Callithrix jacchus: one gene and its partners. The protein of the gene in region 1 interacts with the protein of each later gene in a pairwise test. Links are inferred from orthologs where the notes say so. Each region holds a gene or a part of one and is shown in the gene's direction. Other genes may lie near its edges.

Evidence for each region.
Region 2: the proteins of BIRC2 (region 1) and EXOSC5 interact in binary tests that used the Homo sapiens proteins (3 or more experiments, as listed by UniProt). The two-hybrid records come from large-scale screens. The link is inferred for Callithrix jacchus from reciprocal best matches to the Homo sapiens genes BIRC2 and EXOSC5.
Region 3: the proteins of BIRC2 (region 1) and HSP90B1 come close enough for resonance energy transfer, tested with the Homo sapiens proteins (2 studies listed by BioGRID). The link is inferred for Callithrix jacchus from reciprocal best matches to the Homo sapiens genes BIRC2 and HSP90B1.
Region 4: the proteins of BIRC2 (region 1) and NTAQ1 interact in binary tests that used the Homo sapiens proteins (3 or more experiments, as listed by UniProt). The two-hybrid records come from large-scale screens. The link is inferred for Callithrix jacchus from reciprocal best matches to the Homo sapiens genes BIRC2 and NTAQ1.
Region 5: the proteins of BIRC2 (region 1) and GCC1 interact in binary tests that used the Homo sapiens proteins (3 or more experiments, as listed by UniProt). The two-hybrid records come from large-scale screens. The link is inferred for Callithrix jacchus from reciprocal best matches to the Homo sapiens genes BIRC2 and GCC1.
Region 6: the proteins of BIRC2 (region 1) and PPM1K interact in binary tests that used the Homo sapiens proteins (3 or more experiments, as listed by UniProt). The two-hybrid records come from large-scale screens. The link is inferred for Callithrix jacchus from reciprocal best matches to the Homo sapiens genes BIRC2 and PPM1K.
Region 7: the proteins of BIRC2 (region 1) and NMB interact in binary tests that used the Homo sapiens proteins (3 or more experiments, as listed by UniProt). The two-hybrid records come from large-scale screens. The link is inferred for Callithrix jacchus from reciprocal best matches to the Homo sapiens genes BIRC2 and NMB.

What each region holds. Positions count from the first base shown.
Region 1 is NC_133511.1:2,389,922-2,394,218, forward strand, and holds the start of BIRC2 (baculoviral IAP repeat-containing protein 2), read left to right. Parts: upstream 1-1,497; 5' UTR 1,498-1,657; intron 1,658-1,974; exon of another isoform or gene 1,975-2,026; 5' UTR 2,027-2,145; intron 2,146-2,816; exon of another isoform or gene 2,817-2,839; 5' UTR 2,840-2,944; intron 2,945-2,987; exon of another isoform or gene 2,988-3,118; intron 3,119-3,220; 5' UTR 3,221-4,297. UniProt on the Homo sapiens protein: Multi-functional protein which regulates not only caspases and apoptosis, but also modulates inflammatory signaling and immunity, mitogenic kinase signaling, and cell proliferation, as well as cell invasion and metastasis.
Region 2 is NC_133523.1:36,667,916-36,671,855, reverse strand, and holds the start of EXOSC5 (exosome complex component RRP46), read left to right. Parts: upstream 1-1,140; 5' UTR 1,141-1,175; coding exon 1,176-1,323; intron 1,324-2,417; exon of another isoform or gene 2,418-2,610; intron 2,611-2,919; coding exon 2,920-3,033; intron 3,034-3,280; exon of another isoform or gene 3,281-3,323; coding exon of another isoform or gene 3,324-3,354; exon of another isoform or gene 3,355-3,940. Other genes in the region: BCKDHA (2-oxoisovalerate dehydrogenase subunit alpha, mitochondrial), read right to left, coding at 566-676. UniProt on the Homo sapiens protein: Non-catalytic component of the RNA exosome complex which has 3'->5' exoribonuclease activity and participates in a multitude of cellular RNA processing and degradation events.
Region 3 is NC_133510.1:106,876,481-106,880,592, forward strand, and holds the start of HSP90B1 (endoplasmin), read left to right. Parts: upstream 1-1,312; 5' UTR 1,313-1,418; coding exon 1,419-1,467; intron 1,468-2,425; coding exon 2,426-2,528; intron 2,529-3,152; coding exon 3,153-3,294; intron 3,295-4,112.
Region 4 is NC_133517.1:73,988,315-73,992,549, reverse strand, and holds the start of NTAQ1 (protein N-terminal glutamine amidohydrolase), read left to right. Parts: upstream 1-1,435; 5' UTR 1,436-1,543; coding exon 1,544-1,626; intron 1,627-4,235. UniProt on the Homo sapiens protein: Mediates the side-chain deamidation of N-terminal glutamine residues to glutamate, an important step in N-end rule pathway of protein degradation.
Region 5 is NC_133512.1:119,386,002-119,390,050, forward strand, and holds the start of GCC1 (GRIP and coiled-coil domain-containing protein 1), read left to right. Parts: upstream 1-1,249; 5' UTR 1,250-1,651; coding exon 1,652-2,683; intron 2,684-3,532; coding exon 3,533-4,049. UniProt on the Homo sapiens protein: Probably involved in maintaining Golgi structure.
Region 6 is NC_133504.1:109,410,003-109,413,502, forward strand, and holds part of PPM1K (protein phosphatase Mn(2+)-dependent 1K), read left to right. Parts: intron 1-43; coding exon 44-188; intron 189-2,327; coding exon 2,328-2,462; intron 2,463-3,500. UniProt on the Homo sapiens protein: Serine/threonine-protein phosphatase component of macronutrients metabolism.
Region 7 is NC_133507.1:23,745,477-23,749,588, forward strand, and holds the start of NMB (neuromedin-B), read left to right. Parts: upstream 1-1,312; 5' UTR 1,313-1,360; coding exon 1,361-1,517; intron 1,518-2,169; coding exon 2,170-2,342; intron 2,343-4,112. UniProt on the Homo sapiens protein: Stimulates smooth muscle contraction. Induces sighing by acting directly on the pre-Botzinger complex, a cluster of several thousand neurons in the ventrolateral medulla responsible for inspiration during respiratory activity.

The sequences.
Region 1 (4,297 bases):
TAAGTATATTCATTATCTTACTGTTTTGGTCAGGACAAGAACTGAAAAAGAGAAATAATCTTGAGTTCAGAATGAACAATTCTTGTTATATGTATTTTCCCACATGTTAGGAATGTTCTGTAACTTTCCGAGAAATAGTGACTTCAACTAAATACTAAACTACTACCAAGCCCCAGCTGTATTTTTGGATGTGTTTAGTCATTGGGAGCCATGGCATTTCTTTTTTCTGTATTACGAACTGTTACACTCACTTACTCTGACTGTTAACATTGGAACAGAAGACCTCCTGTTCTGTGACTGATTGGCAGGCAGAAATGACACGGACAGGAAATGGGAAATGGTTCAGGGTCTCGGAATTCCCCCGGCTGCCTAATTAAGTGGCTTGCTATTTGGAAGTTTTTAAAATGTTTGTCCCTTGGAGTTCCCCAGAGAGAAGCAAGCATCAGATTCAATGGGCAAAGAGCGTCAACTTCAAAAGTCTTTGGCTGTCATACCAAAAACATTTACTGCATGCCATTGTGTCTATGGCACCACTGAGGGAGCATGGAGGTGGACACAAACGGTCCATGACTAGTAAAAGCCAAGGGTTTTTATCTACAAATTTTCTATTACCTAAGCATTAAAAAAAAATTGGGCTCCTCTATGGTTTATGTACAATTATATGTGCGTGTACACCAACATACAGGCAGGAGTATGTCTTTCATTTTACTGAAACTCAGAAAACACCGGAGCGTGAAGCCTGGCTTGCAATACAGTTCCCGTCGCTAGCAAGGAGCATCTGAAATACCGACACTTTTCCTCAGAGCGTGATTTCAGTATGCACTGCTGGTCTCCAGAACCGAAAACCAAAAGTTTAAAAACAAGATACTCTAGTTGATCATAAAACAATTGTTAAGTCTTCACAATTATTCATCGGATGCTTCCTACTTTCCAACGCTTCGCTGTTTTCGATTTGCACAGCCAACCGTTGGACATCGATGCTACACAGTTACGATTGTTTACTTAAGCAAAATATGCCACCAGACCGACTCCATCGTCAAAATCCAGTCATCTCGACGACGAGGGAAGGCATCACACTGGGGGGGGGGCCTTGCCAGGGCCAGGCCACAGCCCTGAGATGACACATGGTAGGACGCGCAAAACCACCGGCGCCAGGGTGTTTCCGCAGATTCAAACGCAGCGGCTCACGTTCTGCCACGTCCCCCAGGAGAATGGTGGCCACAGAGAGAAAGGAAATGTGAGGGGCACACACCGCAAGGTAAATAAAACGAACAAACACCGAGTTGATTCGGATAGCCCCATTCCCCTGACAACCCAGCCGGCGACTCCCGTGGGCGCTCACTGGCGCCGGGCCTCCCTGGGCCACCCGGCGTCTTTCCCGGAGGTTTGTCTCCTCACCGCCTAACCCGCGCTGGGTTTCGCTTTCCCGCCCCGGCCTCCCGGGCGCCCTCCCGCGGAGGCTAACGCGGGTCCCCGGCCCGGCGTGCTGACGTCACCGTGCGTCGGCGTGGGCCCGGCTGGGGCGGCGGGCTTCGGGAGCGCGGGGGCTGATACGAGATGAGCTGGCCGTATCTCCTAGTAGGCGCCGCCGCTTCCCGGCTCTGAGGAGGCCTCTCGGTAGCCGCGCAGCTTCCGTGTTTGCTGCGCCCGCACTGCGGTGAGTGCTGCTCCTTCCGGGCTCGGGCGGCGCGGGACGGGTGGGGACGGGTGGGGACGCGCGGGCCCGCGGGGGCCCACTTCCCTAATGTGGTGGCTGCGGGAGGAAGGACGCGGCCTGGGGCCCGTCGGCCGAAGGTTGAGGGTCGCCGGGGGTTCTGTGCTTTCCACTCTCACCGAGGTTTTATTTGATTCGGAAGCCCCAACTTCAAGACTTGCAGTCAAAGCGATTTTTTAAATAGGACTTGTTTTCAAGCCTCCTCTGGCCGCCGCCCACTCTTCTGGCCCTGGGACCTTGACCAAGATGTTTTCTCGCAGTTTTTTTTTTGCAAGGTTTTAAACTTAGCTTTCGGCTTTCTTTTAATGGAAGACATGGAAACGAAGACATTTCGGTGGCGCCGAGATCTCAGATTTCATAGTTCCCACTGCGCTGTCACTCCGGTAGTCGCCTGCGGTGTGTTGTGAGGAACAGCTCTGGGAAAGTATTGGGTAAATCCCATAGCTTCTATTCCTTTCCTTTCCGCCCTGTCCCCTTGCCCCGCTGCAGTTTGCATAAAGAGAATGCAGCAGTGTGGTGCTCGTAGATACAAATCTTTCATTTAAAGACAGGCTATGAGACGGGGTGTAATTAAAGCCGTCACGGCAGTGGTCACCGTGCCAGGACCACTGTTTCACAGCCCATCGTGTTAGGTTTTGTTTTCGAGTTGCTTTCTGCGGTTGTTGCCTTGGAATTGTAAGGGAATGGTGGCGTTTAAGGGTTTATATTAATGAGCTCCTGTTTTACTGCAGTTTTCCTAGTCGTGCAGAGACTTGATATTTACACACTAACGTTGCTGTCTAATTACTGCTGTACTGCTGCTCACCGGGTTTAGTGGAGTGTCTGCCTGTCTTTTTAACCAACGTTCCTTTGCCTCCAGGAGAGTGCCAGAGATAACTTAGGTCAGAAAAGGAGAGGAGCGCAAGGACAAAATGTTTTTTCCTGTGAAAATGTCCATTTGCCTTCAAAATTGTACATTTTCAAGACAGTATAGTTAGTGCTCTGGGAAGTATATTGCATTTATTTATTTTAATTAAGTACTTTTTCAGTTAGAAAGTTGTAGTGACAAATTGCTGGAATTAAGATGTATAATCTTTTCTTTTATTATTATTATTTTTTTAAGACAGAGTCTTGCTCTGTTGCCAGGCGCCAGTCTGGAGTGCAGTAGCGCAATCTCGGCCCACTGCAATCTCCGCCTCCTGGGTTCAAGCAATTCTCCTGCCTCAGCCTCTCAAGTAGCTGGGACTACAGGTGCGCGCCGCCATGTCCAGCTAATTTTTGTATTTTTTACTAGAGACAGGGTTTCACCATGTTGACCAGGATGGCCCGATCTCTTCACCTTGTGATCCGCCCACCTCGGCCTCCCAAAGTGCTGGGATTACAGGCGTGAGCCACTGCGCCCCGCCAAGATGTATTATCTAAAGTGTAAATTATTCTTTCACTTCACTGAATAAATTGAAGAGTATATAAGTTCTATTTGCCATGCAAATACAGTTTTCTGAAATACCTTTTGTTTTTTCTTTTCAGATTTACAGCCCTGAAGAATCTCCCTCTCCCTATTTTTCCCCCTGCAGTAATAAATCCCATTATGAAGACCTCGAAACTTTATAAAGGGATATAGTTTGAATTCTATGGAGTGTAATTTTGTGTATGAATTGTATTTTTAAAACATTGATTTCAGAAAGAAGGCTAGTAGAGTTGATTATTGATACATTATGCTAAGCAGTACTTTTTCGGTAATAGAATATTTTGTTAGGCATTTCTGATAACACTAGAAAGGGCAGGTTACATCTTGTGACAAATTGAGTAATGTTTAATTACAACATGACTGATAATTATAGCTGAATCGTCCTTAAATGATGTACAGGTTATTTAGCTTTTAAATGCAGTGTAAAAAGTGTGCTCTGGAAATTTTACAGTTAACTAAGTTTATGGAGAAAATACCTTTAGTTAATCAAGAATAATAAAACTGTATACAAAGTTAGGCAGAAAGTCCACATGATGCTGCAGGAAATGGAAACAAATACAAATGATATTTAACTAAGATAGAAGAGTTTACAGTCTGTGAACTTTAAGCAAAGTTCATTTGACATCAAACACTGTAACTGGCACAGGTTCAGCAAAGCTTGTGGGTGTTGGCTTCCCCAAAAGTTGTCAGCTGAAGTAATATAGCCCACTTATGTAAATACTCTGATGATAAGGGGTGTGAATTTAGCCTTTAAGTAGTGTGACCATATGAAGATTTTAATTACTTTTGTTTATTGGAATAAAATGAGATTTTTGGGGGGTTGTCATATTAAAATGCATATAGGGAAAGATGCCTGCATATAATTTCTTACCTTGTGGCATAATTCAGTAATTGTCCTGTTATCCAGGCTTAATAGCTTGTAACCAAACATAAATAAAAGGCATAATTTAGGTATTCTATAGTTGCTTAAAATTTTGAGAATATAAATCTCTTTGAAAAATCAAGGAGTTTTAACATTTTCAGAAGTGCATTGACTTTTTCTGAGCTTTTCGTTAGTATTATACAGATTATGAACAAATAGCACTTAGGTTGCCTAAAAGAGTGACTATAACCCCAAAGAGTCGTGTTCTAAGTAG
Region 2 (3,940 bases), on another chromosome or scaffold:
CAACAAATACTAATCATTTCCTCTGTAGTGTGTCCAGAACACACGAATTCCCTGTCTTGATATTCGAACAGAAGACACAGGAATGAAACAAATCTTTTACACATTTCATTTTAAAATCAGAATTGTGGCAAAGGAGCAAAGAACTACAGGGCCCTATGCAGCCTGTGACAGGGACCTGCTCTCTTCTTTCTCCTTCTTGAAGAGGGATCTTTGCCCAGAAGAAAGTCTCTCCCTTACAAAGTCAGTTGCATTCTCCAAACCCTGAGAGAAAAAGGTCTTGCGGTCCCTCCAAGGAGCCCTGAATAGGGGAAGACAGCGGATAAGGAACTCCATCCTTCTCAAGTCGTCTTTCTCCCTCAGGGCCCACAAAGAAGTTGCAATCAGGTTCTTTTCCTCTCCTAAGGAAGTGGCAGAGCTTCCCTTCGGTGTCTTCTCCAAGAGGTCTCCCACGTTTTCCCTTCTGGGACAGCCCTTCCTTCATATCTTTCAGGGACCCCACACTCTGAAGATAGCCTTTACATCCCTATTCCCCTTTGGGAAGACGTCCTGGAGACCAGGTACTCACAGATATAGCCAGTCCCCGAGCCCCAGGCCGCCGCAGCAGCAGGAGGAGGGCAGCCTGGCCCAGGATTCGGCTTTGCCTCCAAACCCTCGCCGCAGCGATTGCTACCGCCATCTTAGCTAACAACCATTTAGCGGTCCGGCCCTCTTGTAGGCTGGACTCCGGGCTCCCCCTTTATATGCCTGACGCAAACTCCAGGACCATCTGACACGGAAACCACCTTTTTTCCTTCCTGTGGTAGACAGAATGCACAGAGATTTGGAAAAGAAAATCTATCTGTCCACAGTTTTCTACAATTGCCTCACTGTAGTTATTCCTGCAACAGGCAAAAATAAAGGGCAACCTGACCAAGGCCCCAGGGATTTAGGGGCCCGGTGTTCAGAGTAAAACAGGACCAGGCCAAGGCCCGCCTCCTGTTCTCAACTGCCCAATGGTGTTGCCAGAGTTAGGAGGTGGGTCAGGGCGGAGCCAAATTGTTGGTAAACGCTAAGCCACGTGCGGACGCCGGGGCTGACTGCCCAGCCCAACGCGTGCGCACTGGTTACGCACCCTGTACGCAGCGCGCGCGGTCGGGCGGAAGTGACAATCGCAGCCGCACGTGGAGTCTGGCGTGATGGAGGAGGAGAGGCATACTGAAGCCAAAATTGGCGCTGAAACTGGAAGAGGGTCCAGCCCTCGGGGTCCCGGCTGCAGCCTCCGGCACTTTGCCTGCGAACAGAACCTGCTGTCGAGGCCAGATGGCTCTGCTTCTTTCCTACAAGGTAAGAACTTCACGCTGGTCTTTCTTTCAGAGAGAGACTACAGTGCAACTGAGTGTCCACCTCCCCACGTTACCAGCTGGTAAATGTCACTCCTGCACTGATGCAGGATTTCTTGTCCGGTTGAATACTACTACATACGCAGCGATACACACATCTCTCCCTCACGACTAGAAAGGAGAAGATAGCTCCATCCTGGCAAATATCTCTGAGAAACAGAAGAGGGGCAGACCGTCCCCCCAAGAATGGATATTTCAGAATAGGAAAAATCACCTCACCAGAGTAAATATCCCCCTTAACTAGATTCGTCCTCCGCCTCTCACACACACACTCTAGGTCCATGCATCCCGGACTGACGCAAACCTATCTATTTGCAAATACTCTGGACTGTGACGGATCTTTCACCCACATAAATACTCGCCACTGCCACCTCACTGCATCTCTCCACAGGAGTAAATATCCCTAAGGTTAGAGCAAGTCTTACCTATAGGGTAAATATGCCCTTCCCCTAGCTAAATAACACTCAATACTAGATTAACTCCAAGAACATTTTTCTTTAAAATTTGACATGGGAGGCCGGGCGCAGTGGCTTCACGCCTGTAATCTCAGCACTTTGGGAGGCCGAGGCGGGTGGATCACCTGAGGTAGGGAGTTCAAGACCAGTCTGGCCTACATACAAAACCCCATCTTTACTAAAAATACAAAAATTAGCTGGGTGTGGTGGTGGGTGCCTGTGATCCCAGCTACTCAGGAGGCTGAGAGCAGCTGCAGTAAGGGGGAGGATGGTTAGCTTTCAGGAAGGACTTCCTGTTAAAAGTTACTAATATCAGGGCCAGGTATGGTGGCTCACACCTGTAATCCCAGCACTTTGGGATTACAAGTGCCCAGTAGTTCAAGACCCTCCTGAGCAACATGGCAAAATCCCCTCTCTACTAAAAATACTAAAATTAGGCCGGCACAGTGGCTCACACCTGTAATCCCAGCATTTTGGGAGGCCAAGGTGGGCAAATCACCTGAGGTCAGGAGTTCAAGACCAGCCCTGGCCAACATGGTGAAACCCCATCTCTATTAAAAATTTTTTTAAAAAGCCGGGAATGAAGACTGTACTTTCAGGGATCATTTCTATAGTGTGTTACTAAAAAGCCGGGAATGGTAGCATGTGCCTGTAGTTCCAGCTACTCTGGAGGCTGAGGGGGTAGGATTGCTTGAGCCCAAAAGGTTGAGGCTGCAATCAACCATGATGGCACCACTGCACTCCAGCCTGGGCCAGGAGAGTGAGACCCTGCCTGAATGCCTTAATGGATGACTATTACTAATATCAGCTAAAGTCAGTTGCACACTCAGCATGAGCCCCACAATGTCTGAAGTGTTCTCTGTGAATTGAGTCCTTTGACCCTTACCGGACGCTAGAGGGGAGGGACTGCTGTTGTCCCCATTTTACAAATGAGGATTCGCAGGCAGAAAAGTGAAGTGAGTGCTCCAAGAATCACTGCCAACAAATGGCGGGGGTGGCGTGGGGAGCCCTGGCCATCAGGCTCAATGCCACTAATGGGGCCCCAGAAGCCGCTGTGAGTGAGGCCTCCCCTGCTGTCTCCCCAGGTGACACCTCTGTCCTGGCGGGTGTGTACGGGCCGGCCGAGGTGAAGGTCAGCAAAGAGATCTTCAACAAGGCCACACTCGAAGTGATCCTGAGGCCGAAGATCGGGCTGCCTGGTAATGGGCACTGCTGAACCTCCGAAGAGTGCCCAGTTTGTCAGAACCGCTCCCTGGCTCCTCCCTGCCAGCTGCCCCCAGTCTCCACTCCACTGTTTCTTTAACTCTCTGTCCCTGTGTCTCATCTTCTGTTGCTTCTCTGTCTGCCTCTAATTTCTCCCTCCGTCTCTCTTTCTCCCTATCTCTGCCTTTATCTCCCTTTCATTCCATTAACCCGTTTTTCTTTTTCTTTTTCTTTTTTTTTCAGATGGTGTCCTGCTCTGTTGCCCAGGCTGGAGTGCAGTGGCGCGATGTCGGCTCACTGCAACCTCCGCCTCCCAGGTTCAAGCGATTCCCTTACCTCGGCCTCCTGAGTAGCTGGGATTACAGGCAACTGCCACCACCCCCAGCTAATTTTTTTGTATTTTTAGTAGAGGCAGAGTTTCACCATGTTGGCTAGGCTGGTGTCAAACTCCTGACCTCAGGTGATCTGCTCGCCTCGGCCTCCCAAAGTACTGGGATTACAGGTGTGAGCCACTGCGCCTGGCCCTTTTTAATTTATTTTTTATTTTTTTGAGATGGAGTCTTGCTCTGTTGCCCAGGCTGGAGTGTAGTGGTGCGATCTTGGCTCACTGCAACCTCCACCTCCTGGGTTCAAACTGTTCTGTCTTAGCCATCCAAGTAGCTGGGATTACAGGCATAAGCCACCACACCCAGCTAATTTTTCTATTTTTAGTAGAGACAGCGTTTCACCATGTTGGCCAGGCTAGTCTTGAACTCCTGATCAGGTGATCCACCCGCCTCAGCCTACCAAAGTGCTGGGATTACAGGCATGAGCCACAGAGCCCACCTTTTTTTTTTTTTTTTTTGAGATGGAGTCACTCTTGTCACCCAGGCTGGAGTGTAATAGTGTGATCTCAACCCACTG
Region 3 (4,112 bases), on another chromosome or scaffold:
CCCTCACAGGAAAGACACCTGGTGTTTTATATGTCCTTCTGAACGCGGACAGGGTATTTCTATGAAGTTACAAAGCTGCAATCCCGTTCTCATGTGCAGCACCACAGGTTTTGCTTTCAAATATCTGCAGGTGCATCCTCCTGAACTCGTTAAACGAAGGGTTTTCCTTTTCTGTGCTAGGCTCGCTTCTCCACCCTGCTCTCCACAGCAGGGGTTCTAAGACCGTCATATCACCGCAGCCTTTGTGTTTTACCGGAGAGTTGAAAGCCTCAGAGCTGCTCGCGATACCTCTAGTGTAGTCGGGAAGGTCCCCACCACGCACTTCTGTAAACCAGATCAGGGAGGCCTGGGGATTCTGGCCGCAGAAAGGAGCAGAGGAGGTAACGGCTCGGGCGGCCAGAGTAACGCACTTGTAGGCGGATTCGGAAACGCGAGCTCTAGAGTCGGAGGGATTCGGAGGGACTCGGAGGGACTCGGAGCGATCTCCCCGGAACGGGGCGGCCTTGGCCTAGGCGTGGCGGCTTTCCAAGCGCGCTTCTAAAAGCTCCTGGAATAGCCACAGATCTCTACTGTAATCAGAACGAGATGTAAAATCTAAGACGCAGGATAGGGCTCCGGCGGCAACATTTTGGGAGAAAATGAAGAGTGCCAAACTACGCAGCTGGTCCAGAAACTAAAGACTACGATTCCCAGCATTCAATGCAGTGTACCCCCCGAGGATGTTGCATGCCGGGAGCTGTAGTTTCTAACCGCCTCCATCCGAAAGCGTTCTAGGGATTTTCAACCTCTCTCGTGTGTTTCTCCTTTCTGAGAAGCGCCGCTACACGAAAAAGCTGGCCGCGAAAGTCTTGCTGGAATCACTCCCAACGTAACCCCAGTCGTAGTTGGGAAAGGGTGAAGAACGCGTTGCCACGACTACCGTTTCCCCGGTCACGGAATAAACGCTCTCTAGGATCCGGAAGTAGTTCCGCCGCGACCTCTCGAAAAGGATGGACGTATTCTGTGCCTACGTTCATTGGACGGTCTCCCTTAGAGGCCAAGGCCTCCCAGGCAAAGGGGCGGTCCTTCGTGTGAGGGGCCCGCGGAACCATTTGATTGGAGAAGAGCTGCAAACCCTGACCAATCGGAAGGAGCCACGCTTTGGGCAGCGGTCACCGCACCTGGACAGCTGCGATTGGTGGACTTCCGTCCCCCCCACGAGTCCCCATTGGGTGCCGTGACTGCGTGGTGCGGCGCGATTGGTAGGTTCGTGTGTCCCAACCCCCGCCCGCGAGAAGTGGGGGTGAAAAGCGGCCCGACCTGCTTGGGGTGTAGTGGGCGGACCGCACGGCCGGAGGTGTGAGGATCTAGCTCCAGGGTTGGGGGGTGGAGGCGGCTCCTGCTATCGGAAGGGACTTGAGACTCACCGGCCGCACGCCATGAGGGCCCTGTGGGTGCTGGGCCTTTGCTGCGTCCTGCTGACCTTCGGTGAGTGATTCTAGAGGAGCAGACGCCCCCCCCTCCACACGCGCGGCCGCTTCTCGAAGGTTCTGGGGGCATTGAACCTGGGAGGAGGGAGATCTCAGGGCCTGCGGTGGGCCAAGGGACGTCGCCTTTCCTCGAAAGAGGACTAGGGGATTACGTTTATTCTCTTCCTTTGGAATTAAGAAAAGAGAATAGAATTATCTAAGTTCCCTGCAGGTCTAATAGTATCTCGCCCAGAGGTCTCAGCGACCGCGGGGAGGGGCCTCATTGGGGCTCGGGCTCCCGCGGGAGCTGTGCGAGTCCCCCCCACCCAGAAGGACTCTTTTGGCTACCGCAACCTTCGGGCACCCAGCTTTCCCGACCCCGAATTCCCCAGACTCCGATTCCTCGCAAGCGCTTGTCCTTTCTTAGATGTCGGCGTTGGGAGCGTGAGGCCTGGGGCCAGCGGAATGGCAGTGTCAGCGTGTTTGATTCGGTTTTGGTGGAGCTCGGTTCTTCACAATATTCTACCCCTTCTCATGCCTCTGGGCTCAATTTCAGTTCCTTTCGCCAGAGGTTGCATAAATCCTATTTGTATTCTGACCTGTGATAACGAAGGCCGAAGTTTTGGCTTGGACAGTTGGGAGGCCTTGGCTCGGCCTGCGAGCAACACGTGTGGGTGTAAAAGAGGCCCGGCATCAGTCTGCTTAACGTTATTTATAAAGGATCGGAGACACGCTGTTTAGAAGTGGTGGCTGCCTCCGTATTTCAGAATCTACGGGGCACCTCGGCATCTGAACTTATAAATAGGTGTGCTGTCTTGGCTTTACCTTGGGTGTTTAAGCCAAGGAATGTGCACTCTTTCATCCCTACCTCCCTTATTTACCAACTGAATTTTGCAACCCCTACCCTTCCCTATTTGATCATCCTCCTTGGAGAAGTGCAATGTTGAAGAGTTTTCCCGTATTAAATCTTTCTTCAGGGTCGGTCAGAGCTGATGATGAAGTTGATGTGGATGGTACAGTAGAAGCGGATCTGGGTAAAAGTAGAGAAGGCTCGAGGACGGATGATGAAGTAGTACAGAGGTTTGTGTTCATTTGAACTTACCTACACAGATAAGCCCTGTGAACCTTGTGAGTTATGGTCACTTCTGATGTATCTCTTCTCCAAAAGTCCAAATAAAGTCTGACACCCTTGTATTTAATACCCGGTGAGTTATTTGCATACATACCTCCTAACTTGTACCTGGGAGTGATTAAACTGAGTGAATTCCTTTGAAAACTATATTGCAGAATACTAGCACCATAAACTTTGTAAGACTAGAAAAGACTTTCAGTTGGATTTGTATTCATTAACTGTGTACACCTCGTAAGTTTAAAAATGGGGTTTCTGTCAGTTGAACAGTATTTTTAAATTTGGCCTCTTGGGACTTAATGACAGTTTTGAAGTCCTCACTGTGGAAGATAAATGAGTATGAAAAGTTGGGATTTATTTTTCTGACAATTTTAAGAACCCAGTATTTCCAATGCAATATTAAAAGGTAGCCTACTGCTGTGCTAACATAATGAGATGGTATATCAGTAATATTTTATAAAGGTTTCCATTTTAACTCCCAAGACAATATTCAGAGGCCACTGTGCTCTCATTATAGTTTCTCTAGTTTTGAAGGGAGCTAAGCCATGTTGTATTTGCTTATCTGATTTCCTTAGAGAGGAAGAAGCTATTCAGTTGGATGGATTAAATGCATCACAAATAAGAGAACTTAGAGAGAAATCGGAAAAGTTTGCCTTCCAAGCTGAAGTTAACAGAATGATGAAACTGATCATCAATTCATTGTATAAAAATAAAGAGGTAAGCAACATGTGGTTAGAGTATTTTGTCTCTGTATGTTGGCATACTTGTTTACTTAAATTTGCATAATTTACTGTGAAAGTAATGTAGTATCCAAGTAAGTAGTAACAACCTTTAAATACTTAATAAGTCCAAGAATTGCTGGTAGATATCTGGGGAGAAAGAGGGTGTCAGGCATGTACTTTTTTCTTTACCTCCAAATAGGTTCATGGCCTGATAATAGTTGTGAGTCTAGGCCAGGCGTGGTGGCTCAGGCCTGTAATCCCAACACTTTGGGAGGCTGAGGTGGGCTTATCACGAGATCAGGAGATAGAGAACAACCTGGCTAACACGGTGAAACTCTGTCTCTACTAAAATAATTAGCCAGGCATGGTAGTGCACGCCTGTAGTCCCAGCTATTCAGGAGGCTGAGGCAGAAGAATCGCTTGAACCCGGGAGGCGGAGGTTGCAGTGAGCTGAGATCACGCCACTGCACTCCAGCCTGGGTGACAGAGCGAGGCTCTGTCTTAAAAATAGAAAAAAAAAAGTTGTGAATCTAAGAGCAGTCACATAAACTAAACTTCTTGCATTGCATACCTGAAGATCACTGTTAGGTGAGTAGTGTTACTACCCTTACCAGTTAATGTATCCCTTATAGTTGCCACAGTTCTTTGTGTAAAGAGCTAGGCTTTATTTATTTATTTTTTAATCAAAAGAATAATGCCACTCCTATACCATAAAGTCTTAATCCTTAAAGAGTGCTTTTATAAGGTACAGAGAAGAAATAAAATGGGTTTGGCATAAAATTGAATGTCTTAATGCATATTGAGGATAATCTA
Region 4 (4,235 bases), on another chromosome or scaffold:
TTGTTTTATAGGTCCTTTGTGATTTATGCTTTAAAGGGGTTCTGTTTAGATGTGTTTCCAGGACTTTTTTTTCAAGATTTAGAGCTTCTTTTAGCAGTTCTTGTAGTGGTGGCTTGGTAGTGGCAAATTATCTCAGCATTTGTCTGGAAAAGACTGTATCTTTCCATCATATATGATGCTTAGTTTTGCTGGATACAAAATTCTTGGCTAATTATTTTGTTTGAAGAGACTAAAGATAGGGCCCCAATCCCTTCTAGCTTGCAGGGTTTCCCACTCATTTTAAAGGAGAAACGTTTACCAGAGTTGTTATTTAGCATAGAGGCTATGTGGAAGTTTGTATTAAGAGCTGAGAGGCAATAAAATTGGTAACTGACAGGAACTATGCTCGGTCTTTAGGATTTATCAGCTTTGAGACTCCTGAGACTGGAGAATCCGACTGTGGATAGCTAAAATCAATGTAACATCTCAGTTTTTATAATGAGAAGTGTACCCCCATTAGCTATCTATGCTCATTGCAAATATGAACAATTCAGAAGACTAAAGTGTAAAGTGAAAGTCCTTGAAACTTAAAGTCCCTGATATTAATACCATTCATTCACCAGAGATAAACACTATTTTAACAATATGATGTCTTTTCTTCCAGACTGCCAGTAATTGAACAAATATATGATTAACACATAAAGGATACCATATGAACTCTTTAAACTTCTAAAATTTACTGTATCAGGGAATTAATATACCTTTTCGAGCCAGTAGATATAGGTCTTCCAATTAAAAAAATTAAGTTACAATAGAGTGAGATTTGGGGTGCTATCCTTTTCGGAAAGCGTCCTCGATGAGGTCATATTTGGAATTACCCTTCACGCCCCACGTCTTCTCTGGGCTCCCGCGGACTCCAGGCTGAGTGCTGAATTGTGGATTTTCATACCCAAACCTCTGTTATTTCAGTATCTCACCTGGTTCCTCCACAGCGCAGAAGCGCATCCCAGGTTGGAAGAGCCTCTCCGGGGAGACTCAGCGAAGCGCTATTCAGGGCCCAACTCAAGCCCAAGCCTAGCTCCTCCTCAGGTCGTCGCCAGAGACCCCACTTCTCCCGAACCTCACCGGTACCCCGCCCCTGACTCCGCCCACCACAACACGCGGCCCCGCCCCTCCCCACCCCAGGCTCCACCCACCATCCGGGCTCCGCCTACCCGGAACCACGATGTCGTCCTTGTTCGGGGCTCCGTCCACTGGGAGCTCGCGCCACTCACCCCACCCCCGACCCGCCCATTTAGCTCGGGCTCCACCCTCCCAGGAACCTGCGCCGCTCGCCCCGAGCTCCGCCCACTTCGTCCCGGGATTCCCGCGCCGGGAACTCAGGCTGCTGGCCACGCCCCACCGCGCTCCTGGCCCCGCCACCCAGAAACTGCCCCGGCTGCCCCGCGCTCCGCTCATCCCGCCCTGGGTGCGCGTGCGGGCCGCTGCACGCCAGCCCCTTCCTTTGCTACGTCAGGTCCAGTCGGTCTTCCTGCGGCTGGGGCCCTGGCTGAGCTAGCCGGCCATGGAGGGTAATGGCCCCGCTGCCGCCCAGTACCAGCCGGCCAGCCCCCCGCGGGACGCCTGTGTCTACAGCAGCTGCTACTGGTGAGGAGACGCGGGCGCAGCCTCCGGGTTTCCCCGGCTCCTGGGCCGCGAGTCGCAACCGTGGCTTTCCTCTTCCCGGCCCCTTCTCGCGGGCGCTCCAGGCCTCGACCGGCGGGTTCTACAGTTTCTGCGGGAGGAGGGAGCAGGAATGGCAGCTCTCGTCTCTTGAGTAGAGCGTGGGCTATTGGATGGGGTTGGGAATTCTCCGGAATCATAGGGTCGTTAGTGCATTTCCTGTGCTTGGTGCTTGTGGGTTGGATTTGCTCTGCAGATCTCTGCTTGGGGGCAAGGCAGGGGTGGAGCTCTGAAAACCTTTGGAAGTTACTCTGCTGAAGCTTGTGGGGTTTAGGACTTAGGTGAAGGCTATTTTAATTTTGGAAGAGAATGGAGGCACAGAGAGTTTGGTGTAACTTGCCAAGGTCACCCAGCTAATAACCCTGAATCCAGTTCAGGCTCCCTGACGTCAGAAACCATGATCTTAACCGTGTTGTCATTATAATAATGGTTACATTTACACAGCGCTTGCTTTAGGCCACGCATTATTCTGGGTAGTTTGGGTAACATAAATCACTGAGCATCACAGTCACCCTAAGAGGTAGGTATTGTTATCCTCATTTTAAAAGATGAGAGCACTGAAGCACAGAGGGCTACAAGTAATTTGCGCAGGGCCACGTAGCTTGTGAATGAAGGAGTGGGAATTTACAGGCAGAGTCTGGCCCTGGAGTCCACGCATTGCATTTCTGTCCTAGGCCACCTCTGCAGCTGAAGCACCACCCCTGCCTTGGTACTTTTTGATTCCGATACCTGCTCTTGCCTGAGTAATGGCTTCTTCCCCAGCTTCCAGTCCTTGCACAGGAAACCTCAGGGCTCTCTAAAATTACTCCTCCCCTTTCTGCTGGTCACTAAACCAATGCCACCAAGAGCTTAGCATTTGTTTGGCCCTGATTGCATGTCAGGCTCAGTGCCAGGTGCTTCCATCGATGTGCAGGAGGTAAATTCTTTTATTATCATTATCTTCATTTTACTAATAAAAAGCCTGAGTCACAGAGAGGCTGTTGTGTGCCCCCAGATCATACATCTAGCAAGTGGTGGTGCTGAAACTGGAACCTCTTTGTGATTCTGAAGTTCATGTGTCTTAACTGTTGCACTGTTTTTCTGCCCTGCCTCTCTTCTAAATCCTTTTAGTTCTCCTCCCTAATGTCCATTCATTGTTTTATTCGTTCTTTCAATAAATGTTTGTTAGGCAGTTGGTAATATGTGGTACACTTCTGGGCACTGGGACTATAGCAGTGAACAAAATCGACAAATTCCCTCATGAAGTTCTTGTTATATTTTGATGAGAGAAAAGCAGACAAGGCCAGGTGTGGTTGCTTAGGCTTGTAATCCCAGCACTTTGGGAGGCAGAGGTGGGTGGATCACTTGAGGCCAGGAGTTTGAGACCAGCCTGGCCAACAAGCAAAAACCCTGCCTCTACTAAAAATACAAAAATTAGCTGGGCAGGGTGGTGGGTGCTGGTAATCCCAGCTACTTGGGAGGCTGAGGCAGGAGAATTGCTTGAATCCAGGAGGTGGAGGTTCCAGTGAGCCAGTGCCACTGCCTTCTATCCAGGGCAGCAGAGTGAGACTCCATCTCGAAACTAAACAAAAAACGACAAAAATGAGTAAGCAATGCTTGGGTGGTGGTAAGTGCTGTGAGAAAAATAAGATAAAGCATGGTGACTTATTTTCTATTACGATATTTTGAGAAGACATTGTTATCAGGTGATAACTTGAACAGAGATCTGAAGAAAGAGGGTGAGAGCTTTGCAACTTTTGAAGAATGGTTATTTAAGCAGGGAGGATAGCAGGTACAAAGGCTCTGAGAAGGAATCCTGCTGTGAGTATGATAGGAACAGCTCAGAGGCTGGTACAATTGGAGTACTGAAGTAAAGCAGTCTTGTAGAAGAATGGTAAGAGATGACCACTCTACCACAGGGTTTCTCAGCCTTGGCTCTAGTGACATTTTGAGCATGAAAATTCTTTGCTGTGGGGGCTGTCCTGTGTATTGCAGGATGTGTAGCAACATCCCTGGCCCCTACCCACTAGATGCTGTTACCACCCCAGCCCTAGATGTGACAACTGAAGATGTCTCCAGACATTGCTAAGTGTCCTGTAGGGGTTGGGGGGCAAAATCACCTCTTGCTGAGAACCAGTTCTCTACCCTGTCTGAACACATCAGGTAGGACACCACACTACTTCCTGCAGCTGTGTGTGTGTGTTTTAAGACAGTCTCAGTCTATCACCCATGCTGCAGTGCAGTGGCGCAACCTTGGCTCACTGCAACCTCCGCCTCTCCAGCTCAAGCCATTTTTCTGCCTTAGCCTCCCCAGTAGCTGGGACTACAGGTGCCCACCACCACGCCCAGATAATTTTTGTATTTTTAGTAGAGACGGGGTTCCACCACGTTGGCTGGGCTGGTCTTGAACTCCCAATCTCAGGTGATCCACCCATCCAAAGTGCTGGGTTTACAGGTGTGAGCCACGGTGCCCGGCCATCCTGCAGGTTTTTTAACTTGAAATGAATGCCTCCTGTTTACTTCTGGGTCAGTAGTGCCTTTCCTGTGCTTGGTGA
Region 5 (4,049 bases), on another chromosome or scaffold:
TGTCACTACCTTCTCTTCCCCATGACTGAGTCTCTTCACAGGTCTCCTGCCCCTTGTTCCCTCCACCATGTCATACAAACCTTGATGACATTCCACTTTTCAGATTAAAATCCATTAGGGCCTTACTATCACCCAAGATAAAATTTAAATGCCATAAGTTGGGTCCCTGCCTCTCATGCCAGCCCCTCTGTTGTCCCCTCCTTCACATACCCTAAACTTTTGAATGCATTCTGGGTGAGTCAAACTCTGATACCCTACAGGTCTTTGCATTTTTTTCCCACCTGCCTGGAATGCTGGTTTCCCTGATCTCTGGTTAGGTGGACAATCAGGACTCATACTTCAAATCCCAAAGTATTATTCCCAAGAGCCTTCCATTCTTCATTGAGCCAGGCCTCTTTCCTCTCTTAACTTTCCTACCACTTTGAATATACCAATACATACCGGTGTTATAGCAGGACATGTTTGCATGTCTAGTTCCTCACTAGATTGTGAGTTCCCTGAAAGCAAGGTCGTATCTCTTAATGGTGTTATCGTCTGGTACAACACATAATACGTTGAGAATCAGACTGATTCAGATAGAACTAAACTTCTTAGCTCTGTGGTCTTGGGCATGTTACGTATAACTTTTTGCCTCATGTTCCCCTATTTGTAAAATAGTGCTAATGAAAATAGTGCTTATAATAATTATCGTGAAGACGAAATAGCAAAACTCTTGTGCGCTCCTTGTACATAGCTGGCACTCAGGATAGACACGGCTATAGAGTGCCCTCCATAAATATTTGTTGAATCAACTCAGCAGAACTAAGGAAGCGTACTGACTATTACGCTGTATACCTACTAGGTGCCAAGCCTTGTGCTAGAGTACTCCAGTTTTCGCGGTCTATATGCAAGTCTTTAATTGTTGCCTTTTAGGGATATGGGACCTGAGCCCCCAAATCCTTGGATGCGTCGTTCACCTAGGTGTTTGTTAAGAACGCTGTGCGACGTTGCCCTCTGTCGCTCGCTGATCGTAGCCCGAGGTCAAGCTTAGGCGCTCTCACAAAACCCAGACCACTCTGATGTTTTCGGCTTTGCTTGTTTCTCCTTTCCCAAACCTGTTGGCCGCTCGCTACCCTACTGCGTTTTCAACAGGCCGCGCCCACCCACTGGCGGACTGGGCTCCGCCTAACTCGCGCCCACTGGGGGCGGGGCTTGCGGCGCCTAGCTGACGTCACTTCCAGCGGACACGGAAGCGCGGTAGTGGGCAGGCAGTTGTAGTTAGGAAATCGTGATGGGACGCCGCTCTGCGTGAGCACCTGACCGACGTGGGCCGAGCGGGGCCGGCCCGGGCTCCTGTGGCCTGGACAGAGCGGAGAGTGTGGAGCGGCTTCTGGGCCAGCGCGGACGAGCCCTGGCCGAGCGCGCCTCTGGTGCCAGCGTCGCCCCGCCTCCAGGGTAGTACCCGCCCCACCCTCCGGGCTTGGGACCAGGCGGGCACTTTTGTCTGTAGGTTCCGCCTATCCGCATTAGGTCCGGGATAACTGGGTGCAGCAGGTGTGCGGCCCGCCGCCGGACAGCCCGCTGGCTGTTTCTTGAAGCCCTTGCCTGCCTCTTCGCAGCCCTCTCTTGGGCTACTGGAAAGCTGAAGTGGAGCAGTCCGTTCAGAACCTTCATGGAGAAGTTTGCTATGAATTTCGGTGGCGGCCCGAGCAAGAAAGACTTGCTGGAGACTATAGAGACGCAGAAAAAGCAGCTTTTCCAGTACCAGGCACGGCTCAAGGATGTGGTCCGTGCCTATAAAAGCCTGCTGAAGGAGAAAGAGGCGCTAGAGGCCAGCATCAAGGTGCTGTCGGTATCCCACGAGGCAGATGTGGGCCTCGCAGGTGTCCAGCTTCCAGGCGTCGCCTTTCCGGACTTTGTGGATGACCGGTGCTCCACTCACAGTGAGGATAGCACTGGGACCGCCACTAGCGTGGATACGGCAGCCAGTCTCACCAGCACCAAGGGCGAGTTTGGGATAGAAGATGACAGACCAGCCCGTGGACCACCACCTCCGAAGTCCGAAGAGGCCAGTGGGTCAGAGAGTGGTGTTAGCAGTAGCAGTGGGGATGGGCCATTTGCGGGTGGGGAGGTGGACAAAAGACTGCACCAGCTGAAGACTCAGTTGGCTACTTTGACCAGTTCTTTGGCCACAGTCACTCAGGAGAAGTCCCGCATGGAGGCTTCTTACCTGGCTGACAAGAAAAAGATGAAACAGGACTTAGAGGATGCCAATAACAAGGCAGAGGAGGAGAGGGCTCGCCTGGAGGGAGAATTGAAGGGGCTGCAGGAGCAAATAGCAGAAACCAAAGCCCGGCTTATCACGCAGCAGCATGATCGGGCCCAAGAGCAGAGTGACCATGCCTTGATGCTGCGTGAGCTCCAGAAGCTGCTGCAGGAGGAGAGGACCCAGCGCCAGGACTTGGAGCTTAGGTTAGAAGAGACCCGAGAAGCCCTGGCAGGACGATCATATGCAGCTGAACAGATGGAAGGATTTGAACTTCAGACCAAGCAGCTGACCCGTGAGGTGGAGGAGCTGAAAAGTGAACTGCAGGCCATTCGAGATGAGAAGAATCAGCCAGACCCCCGGCTGCAAGAACTTCAGGAAGAGGCCGCCCGCCTTAAGGGCCATTTCCAGGCCCAGTTACAGCAGGAAATGAAAAAGGTAATTATCCACCTCTCTTTCAAACATAGTCATTGATCTGAAGTGGGAAATACTAGGGTTTTTTTCCTCCTTTGCTAGTGAGAGCTAAGTGTTTGTACTGTCATTTTTGATGCTACCTGAAAAGTTCCACTGGTGAGTCCCGGGAAGTGCTGTTTTATGTGGTGTTGACGTAGAAGCTTCCAGGAGGATGTGGAGCTTCTCAGTGTAGGCTGGGTTGGAGCCAGTCAGCCCTGCCCTTCTGGGCATTGGCATCTTACCAGCTGTGTTCTATGAAGCAGTATAGTGGCAGCTGTACAGTAAAAGGTAGTGTATTTTCTGTTGGTATGTGCCGCTAGGGAGGGTGGCTGAAGGCAAAGGGGGATTTTCTCAGAAGTAACCTCTTGTCATTGCCTTTACTTAAGATTTGCCTATTCTGGAGAAATGCTATTTTCCAGAATAGGCCTCCTTTCTGGTGGAGAAAGGGGGCTTCCTTCCAATGTGGTGAGGGAGCTCCAGCTCAGTTTTGAACTACTAGGAATATTAGATAAGGAAAAATCTTGTATGATTTCTTAAGATTTGAGGAAGCACCTGAAAAACAACAGTGACACACATTATATGTGAGTTAGGTGGAAAGCAGAATGGAATGGCAGATATGCCAAGGTGCTTAATATTTTTTAGTATAATATGTCTTGCAGAACCCAGGCAGGTCATAGGAACTTTTGTTAGCTCCTGAATCAACCGAAAAATCCCTATTTCCCATTCTTGTCAGGCCATTCCAATCCTGTGACCCTTTTGCTCCCCTGTCCTGCTTTCTCAAAGTTTGCTGTGGGGCTTTTGTGGATGCATTATTTCTCTTCCCTTATTTTGCAGACAGCTCTTGCAGAGGATCAACTCCGTCAGCAATCTCAGGTGGAAGAACAGAGGGTGGCAGCCCTGGAGAATCAAATATCTGAGGTGTCGGAGCTGCTGGGCACGTACGAGAAAGCCAAGCAGAAGGACCAGCTGGCCATCCAGAAGCTGAAGGAGCGTATTCTGCAGCTGGACCTGGAGAACAAGACACTGGCTCTAGCAGCCTCCAGCAGGTCCCCTCTAGACAGCCATGGAGAGGAGTCTAGTCTGGATGTCAATGTCCTGAAGGATAAAATGGAGAAGCTGAAGAGACTGCTGCAGGTTGCAGCCAGGAAAAGCCAGGTGACCCTGGATGTGGAGAAGCTCTGTGACCTGGAGATAATGACCAGCTCGGAGACTGCTGATGGGGAGAAGGCTACTGCACTCTATTACCAACAGGAGCTGAAACAACTGAAGGAAGAGTTTGAGAGGTACAAGATGAGGGCCCAGGTGGTCCTAAAAAGTAAGAATACCAAAGATGGTAATCTGGGGAAGGAGC
Region 6 (3,500 bases), on another chromosome or scaffold:
TGGTTTTCTGCATATCACATCATTGTGATTTAACTTTTAACAGGATCAAGAAATGTGGTGGTTTTGTGGCTTGGAATAGTTTGGGGCAGCCTCATGTAAATGGCAGGCTTGCAATGACAAGAAGTATTGGAGATTTGGATCTTAAAACCAGTGGTGTCATAGCAGAACCTGAAACTAAGAGGATTAAGGTAAGAAAGGACCTGCAAGCACTTGATGCACCTGCAGAGAGTGAATGTAGGAATGCCTCCGCTGCAGGCTTTCTTGGAAGCCTTAACTGAAGCCAAAATGATTTTTAAAAGGGAGTAATATATGGAAGGAGAAAAAAAAAACTTTTCAGTTAAAATAAGATGCTACTATTCTGGCCTAATGTAGAGGAGAAACCATAAATTATTTCTTTCCCCCTTTTTAGGTTCTTAGCTGAGACACTTTATTGAAAACAAAAGTCAGATTAACTACAACAACTACAAATAAGCAGACGGTTCAGCGTGCTGTACCCATTGTGCAGGAAAGGCTTCAGTTCAAAGTATTTCTCTCTCAAGGCAGTGGTTTAGGGGCTTTGCTTAAATAGTATTTAAACAAAGAGCCACAAATCCTACATAGGGACAAGATAAAGAAGAGAACACTTTCAGTCTTTTAAAAGGCAGAAAAATGTGTGGAAATAGTAGAACCTGTTCCCAGATTTCTCTAGTGCCTGCTGGTTTCTTCTCTGGGCTGATAAACAAGTGCTGTCTCCAGCCACCAGGCAAATAGAGGCCCAGGAAGTTGTTCCCCTGCCTTTTCAGTTACTTTGGCAATCCTCAGTATTTGGGAGAGAAATATTTTGGTATCCCTCAGTATGAAGAAGTGTTAGGTTTTTGTTTCACTCCAGCTATGGAATTCTCCTGGTGGAATGGTCCTACTTTTACTCACCTGCACCCAATCATCCAGCATCACTTGTACGTAATCAGCCAGCATCACCTGCATCCAGTCAGCCAGCGGCACTGCACCCCATCAGCCAGCATCACCTGCACCCAATCAGCCAGCTTCACCTGCACCCAGTCAGCCAGCATCACTGCACCCAATCAATCAACATCACCTCCACATGGAAGCTGCCCTGACTTCCCTTCTCCACCAAACCAAATAATTGCCCACTTCTACTTCTGCAGCATCCTTTGCATGCTACTGATCAGTGTCCTCATTGCCCTTAACTGCCCCCAGCACACACCCAGTCCATGAACTGACACTTCTCTAAAACTCCTGAGCCACTATAGTCCCTAGTACAGTATAGTGTAGGCTTCCAAAACTGGCAGCAAACACTTGTTAATTAATTGCATGAAGGATTTCAAGTCTGTAGATATCCAACTTTGTGCCTTATAGATATCCTACTTCATATTATCTAACAGATACTTAGGCAGAGTTTACTATGTGCTAGACTTTTTTCAAAATAAGTACTACTATTTACATTTTCCAAGGAAAATCTAAAGCATACAGAGGTCAATGCACCTCTGCTCACCCAGCCCAAAAATAGAGGCAAGATTCAAATCCTAGAAGCCTGGCCTTAAAAGACAGCACTCACAACTGTTACATCAAGCTGCCTCTCAGCATTGGACTATCTGGATTCTCCCTTTACAATGTTAAATTATGCAAGTAAAGCAAGATATCTTGAAGGGTGTTTGCTAAATGGTTAGGACTGATTACCTCTGGTGATCGGATTTCAGAGGATTGCAACTTCTTTACTCTTTACTTTCTGCTATTAAGTGCTATTTATATTTTACTAATTAAATATTAGCTTTATCCTTGGTGGTTAATTCTAAATGTTACTACTTTTGCCCAACATATAGGCTTTACATTTTCACTGTTTGCCTATGTATTAGTCTGTTCTCACACTGCTGATAAAGATATACTTGAGACTGGGTAATTTAAAAGCAAGGAGGTTTAATGGGCTCACAGTTCCACAAGGCTGGGGAGGCCTCACAATCATGGTGGAAGGTGAAAGAGGAGCAAAGTCATGTCTTACATGGTTGCAGGCAAAGAGAGCATGTGCAGGGGAACTCCCCTTTACAAACCATCAGATCTCATGAGACTTCTTCACTGTTATAAGAATGACATGGGAAAGACCCCACCACCATGATTGAGTTACCTCCCATTGGGTCCCTCCCACAACACATGGGAATTATGGGAGCTACAATTTAAGATGAGGTTTGGGTGGGGACAGGGCCAAACCATATCAGCTTACAAGCTCTTACACAGATGACCACTTAGCAAAACAGATAAAAATATTCGAATTAGCAAGATTATTCTAAGTCAGAGTCTAGCTAATAATCATAGGCATTTGGTTCTGATTGCAGTTACATCATGCTGATGACAGCTTCCTGGTCCTCACCACAGATGGAATTAACTTCATGGTGAATAGTCAAGAGATTTGTGACTTTGTCAATCAGTGCCACGATCCCAATGAAGCAGCCCACGCAGTGACTGAACAGGTGACCCAGAGCTTCTGCCTGAAGAGTCTAAGGAGAAGGAAAGGACAGCCCAGGCATTGTGTTTTAGCTTTTGAGTGTTGCAGTGAATTTTACACTTGATTCCATAATATTTCCAAGTATAAAATTTTTATTATTTCCCCAAGTTAAAATTTTAATATGCCAAGGAAATGAGCTTTGTTTATTCTTTGGCTTTGTATATACTTTGAAATGATAGTAACAGCAATAATAAATTATAATAGTAGTAAACTAATATATCACTTACACTTACTGTGTCACAGTATTCGTATATATTAACTCATTACTAAATGTATTGTACAGTATATAAAATTACATATATGGTAATCACAATAACCCTATTAAGTTGGAGCTATTACTGTCCCTTTTCACAGATGAGAAAAACAGGTACAGAGGCTACACGGTTAAGTAACTCACTGAAGGTCACCAAACTATTAAATTGCAGAACTGGACTTCAAACCCAGACAACCAGGTTCCCAAGTCCAACCACCTGACCATTAAACTAGACCATTAAACCATTGCTCCAAGCAAATATCCAACTTGAGGATATAGCATAGTCATCTTCTGGTTATTCAGAGTGGGTGTGTGGAAAAGATAAACCAAAATACAAAAAAGCATAGGGATGAGGTTGTGTGTCAGTCAGAACTAAAATTAGAAGAAAGCTGGGTAATATCCAGTAAAGAAAACTTAAACTGTGCTTTGTATTATTTAAAGTATGTTTTAATTCAACAGCTATTTTTGCATTTCCCAAAATAAGATAACAGACCTTACTTTAAAAGTATTATTTGCTTGGAAATAGTTGGGCAACATCATCATAATACATGAATTATTCATTTGGTTATGGCCTTCACCCGTGCTAACCAGGGTGCTCATGAAATTGAGGAAATGGGCCCAATTCCATGGATGAACACTTTTTTCCCAATTTCAACTGCCTGTCTTGTAGATATTTGCATTCTAATTCACAAAGGCAATGAAATTTGTAATGAATGCATAGTGTTCCATCTTATTCTTATACATAATTCA
Region 7 (4,112 bases), on another chromosome or scaffold:
TCCAGTGAGGTGGTTAACTCCCATGGAGCAGGGAATTATCTGTCTCTCCTCTTTTTGTGTCTAGCACAGTGCTCTGAACAATGGGTTTCAGTTAATTAAGCAAACATAAATGTGTTATTCTGGAGCATAGTGTCTTCCTCTGCTCATTACATGATGCTGCTGATCCAGACGTTCTTTCCAAGACTGATCCAGACATTCTTTCCAAGACAAATCCAGACATCTCCTAGGGAGAACAAAGTGCCAGGTGTTAGGGCAGGTCCTACAGAACTGTTGCTTCCTGCCACAGAGTACTTACGCTAAAACATGTAAAAGTATAATTAGGGCACTGTGGTTATTCCCATTTTACAGTTGAAGAAAGTGAGGTTATTCAGCCGGGTCACAGCTCCCGGGTCCTGGACTCCTGGGTCCAGGGCTCTTTGCACTTCCGACCCAGAGGTCACCTTCCTGCCCCTAAGCCAGGCCCTATGGCAGGATGCCCATTCCTCAGAAGCGGCCCCTTTCCCACCCTTCATCACTCCGCATTCCCATCCTGAGTACCATGGTGTACCAGAACATTTCCAGATTGTGGTGCTGGCTGTGAGAGGGCAGAGCGCGAGGTGAACAGAGGTCAGATTACTCCAGAGGGTGGAGGTGATGGGGATTCGTTTATGGAACTCCTTTGGTTCCTGGCACTTGGCTGGACACTGTAAAAATGCCTGTGTTAGCCTGGGCAACCTAGCGACACCCGGTCTCTTGAAAAAAAAAGAAAAAAAAAAAAAAAAAAAGCCAGGCGTGGTGGCGTGTGCCTGTGATCCCAGCTTCTGAGGTGGCCGAGGCTTGAGCCCAGCCCAGGAGGTCGAGGTTGCAGTTGAGACGTGATCGCGCCACCGCACTCCAACCTGGGCGACAGGGCCGGACCCTGTCTCAGAAAAAAAAAAAAAGGCTGTTACGGGGGAGGAGGGCCCCTAGCCGGACCTGTACCCTCATGAAGAGAGGCTCAGAGGGCTGAAGCACCTGCTCGGCCAAAAGGCGTGGGAGAGGGGCAAAGCAGGGCCGGGGGAAGCAGCTTCCCCTCCGGGGCTGGGCCTCTGTTTGCCCAGTACCCAGTCCTTAGCCTGAAGGTGGTGGGCTTCAGCCAGAAGCCCCAGGCGGAAGCGGTGCCCGCGTGTGGGCCAGAGTGCGGGTGTGCAGGTCTCTGGGCGGCCCAAAGAGGGTGTCCCTGCCCGGGAACCCAGCAGCTGGGGCGGGAGGGTGGGGACGGCGGCAGGCGCGCGGGGCAGGCTCCGCCCCCAGGGACGCGGGTTTAAAAGAAGCGAAGGCGGGCCCGGGAGCCGAGCTGCAGTGGAGCGCGCCGGAACCGAGCCGCTGCCGGGGCACAGCTATGGCCCAGGGGGCGGGGGGCGCTCGGCTGCTCGGCGGCCTCCTGCTCTTCGCCCTGCTCATTGCCGGCGTCGCTCCACTCAGCTGGGATCTCCCGGAGCCCCGCAACAGAGCCGGCAAGATCCGAGTGCACCCGCGGGGCAACCTATGGGCCACCGGTAAGTCTGAGGGGAACCGGGCAAGCAAGTGTCCCCCACCCTGCTCAGACCCCATTTCCTTCTCAACCCTCTGGCCTTTCCTCAGCCACGGATACTTGTGTCGGAACAGGTGGGGAACCTTGGGGCTCATCTAATTTAATCGATGTGAACTTCAGACCCCGACAGGTCAGTGACTTGGCTAAGGTCGCACAGCCAGTTTAAGGCAGGATGGGGCTAGCTAGATCCTAAATCCCACTGCCAGCCGGTGCCCCTTACCTTAGGCGAGACTTCACCGACTCTTCTAACCACCCGTGTGTTTTTGCTGCACCTCCACTTTCCAGGCCCCTCTACACACTCCACTTCCTACTCTGCCCTTTCTCATCCCTTGTCCAAGCAGGACACACAACTAGCAGAGTTTCTCCCTGGCCCTGGACCATACCACCCTCCTTCCAGCTGTGCCATCCTCTCTAGTTGTTCGGGAAAAGCTGAGGGAGCAGGCTTTGCCACCCCCCAGATACTTTTGTGGCTCCTTGGTGAGGTGGAACAACCAGGAGGAGGAAGGTTAAGTGTCTTCCTGCCACAAGAACAGAACTGTGGGAGAGATGAGGAACTTTCCCACTGGGGTAGGGTCCTCACTCCTTGACTTCCTTGTGCCTGGGCACCTCCTTTCCAGGTCACTTCATGGGCAAGAAGAATCTGGAGCCTCCCAGCCCATTCCCATTGGGGACAGCTTCCCACACCTCCCTGAGGGACCAGAGACTGCAGCTGAGTCATGATCTGCTCAGGAGCCTCCTGCTAAAGAAGGCTCTAGGCGTGAGCCTCAGCCGCCCTGCACCCCACATCCAGGTGAGCCAGGTCCCCACTCCAACGCCAGGATGGCCCAGCTGGGGCCATCCCTGGATCCTGCATGGGTGGAATTACCACCCAGCACTGTATTAGGGTGTGACTGTCTGATCAGGACATTATGGGTGTGGACCCCAGAAAGCCAGGGTTCCAGGCTTTTCTCTCTTGAGGCAGAGCTCAAAGGAGGAACAGTCCAAAGAAAGGAAGTTGACCTTCCCGGCAGACCCCACGGAGCAAGAAGTAGGGAAAGAAGTTCCCCTGACTCATCACCCAATCTAAAGAAACAGACTGGGCTCGTCAGCCTCTTAAAACAGGGCCTTTCTCTCCCAGTGCACACAGCCTTGTCCCACCTGTGCTGCATTAGTCAAGTTCACCTTTGCTGTGCCCTGTGTGTGTTTGTGGCCGGACTGGACCCTGAGGCCCAGAGAGGGAAAGAGAAGTCAGCAGCCAAGACAGAGTCTGGACCTTGTTCACCTTCCAGCTGTGAACCGGTGCTCTCCCCATGCTCTCATCTGCCTCAGTTCTCCCCATGCTCTCATTGGCCTCAGTATCCGGTGGCAGAGTTGAGCAACTTCAATACGTCTGACATCCTGACTTTCTAGGCTGGATTATTCCTTGTTGTGAGGGCTGACCTGCACATCATGGGATGTTTAATGGCATCCCCGGTCTCTACCCACTAGATGCCAGTAGCACCTTCCCCCCGCTTCAAGTTGTGACAACTGAAAAGACCTCCAGACATCACCAGATGTCTGCTGTGGGAGAAGGCCCCAAATCATTCTTGGTTGTCAGTCACTGACCTATGGGATTCAAGGCCCCAAAGCTGGAGCCAGGCCAGCCTTCAGGTCTAGCCCAGTTGGGTGGCAGCTCCTCCATTCCCTGTTCCTGGTGCTGTCCTTACTGCACAGCACCCTCCCTGGTCCTGCTGCTGTGTGCAGAAGGCAGTGTAATGTGGTAGAATGTGGGCTCTGACTACAACGTGCTGGGCTGAGAACCTAGCTACTTAGTAGCTGTGTGACCTTAGAAATGTCCCTTAACCTTTCTAAAGCCTCATATTCCTCATCCATAAAATGAAGATGATACTGAGAGGCTGAGGCAGGAGGAGGATTACATGAGGTCAGGAGTTCAGGACCAGCCTGGCCAACATGGTGAAACCCCATCTCTACTAAAAAATATGAAAATTAGCCAGCCATTGGTGGCAGGCGCCTGTCAACCCAGCTACTTGGGAGGCTGAGACAGGACTATTGCTTGAACTCAGGAGGAGGAGGTTGTAGCGAGCCGAGATTGCACCACTGCACTCCAACCTAGGCTACAAGAACAAAACTGTCTCAAAAAAAAAAATAAATAAAATGAAGACAATAATAAGGCCCATCTCCCATTAAATGAGACAATTGATGTCAAATGCTCAGCATGGTGCCTGGCTCATACAGTCCTTAGTAAATGGGAGCTCATACGAGTCTGTGAGCTCCCTGGCAGCACCTGTTGAGGACTCACCTTCATATCCCCCCACTGTGCCTAGCATATCATGCGTGCATTTTGAAGGGAGGGGCATTCCCTAGAAAAGATCCAACCCCAGCCTCAACCAACATCCCTGACTTCCTGATGCACAGAACCAGCAGCTCCTGAGGACCTCAGATGTAAGGCCTAGGAGCTTGGGCTGGCTGAGACTGAAGGGAGACAGTGTCACCTCTAGTGCGTTGGTTTTGAAGCTCTGGCACATGCAGAACAATTGAGAATCTCAGAAGCAGCAATGCATAGGTCTGGGGGGCTTCAGAG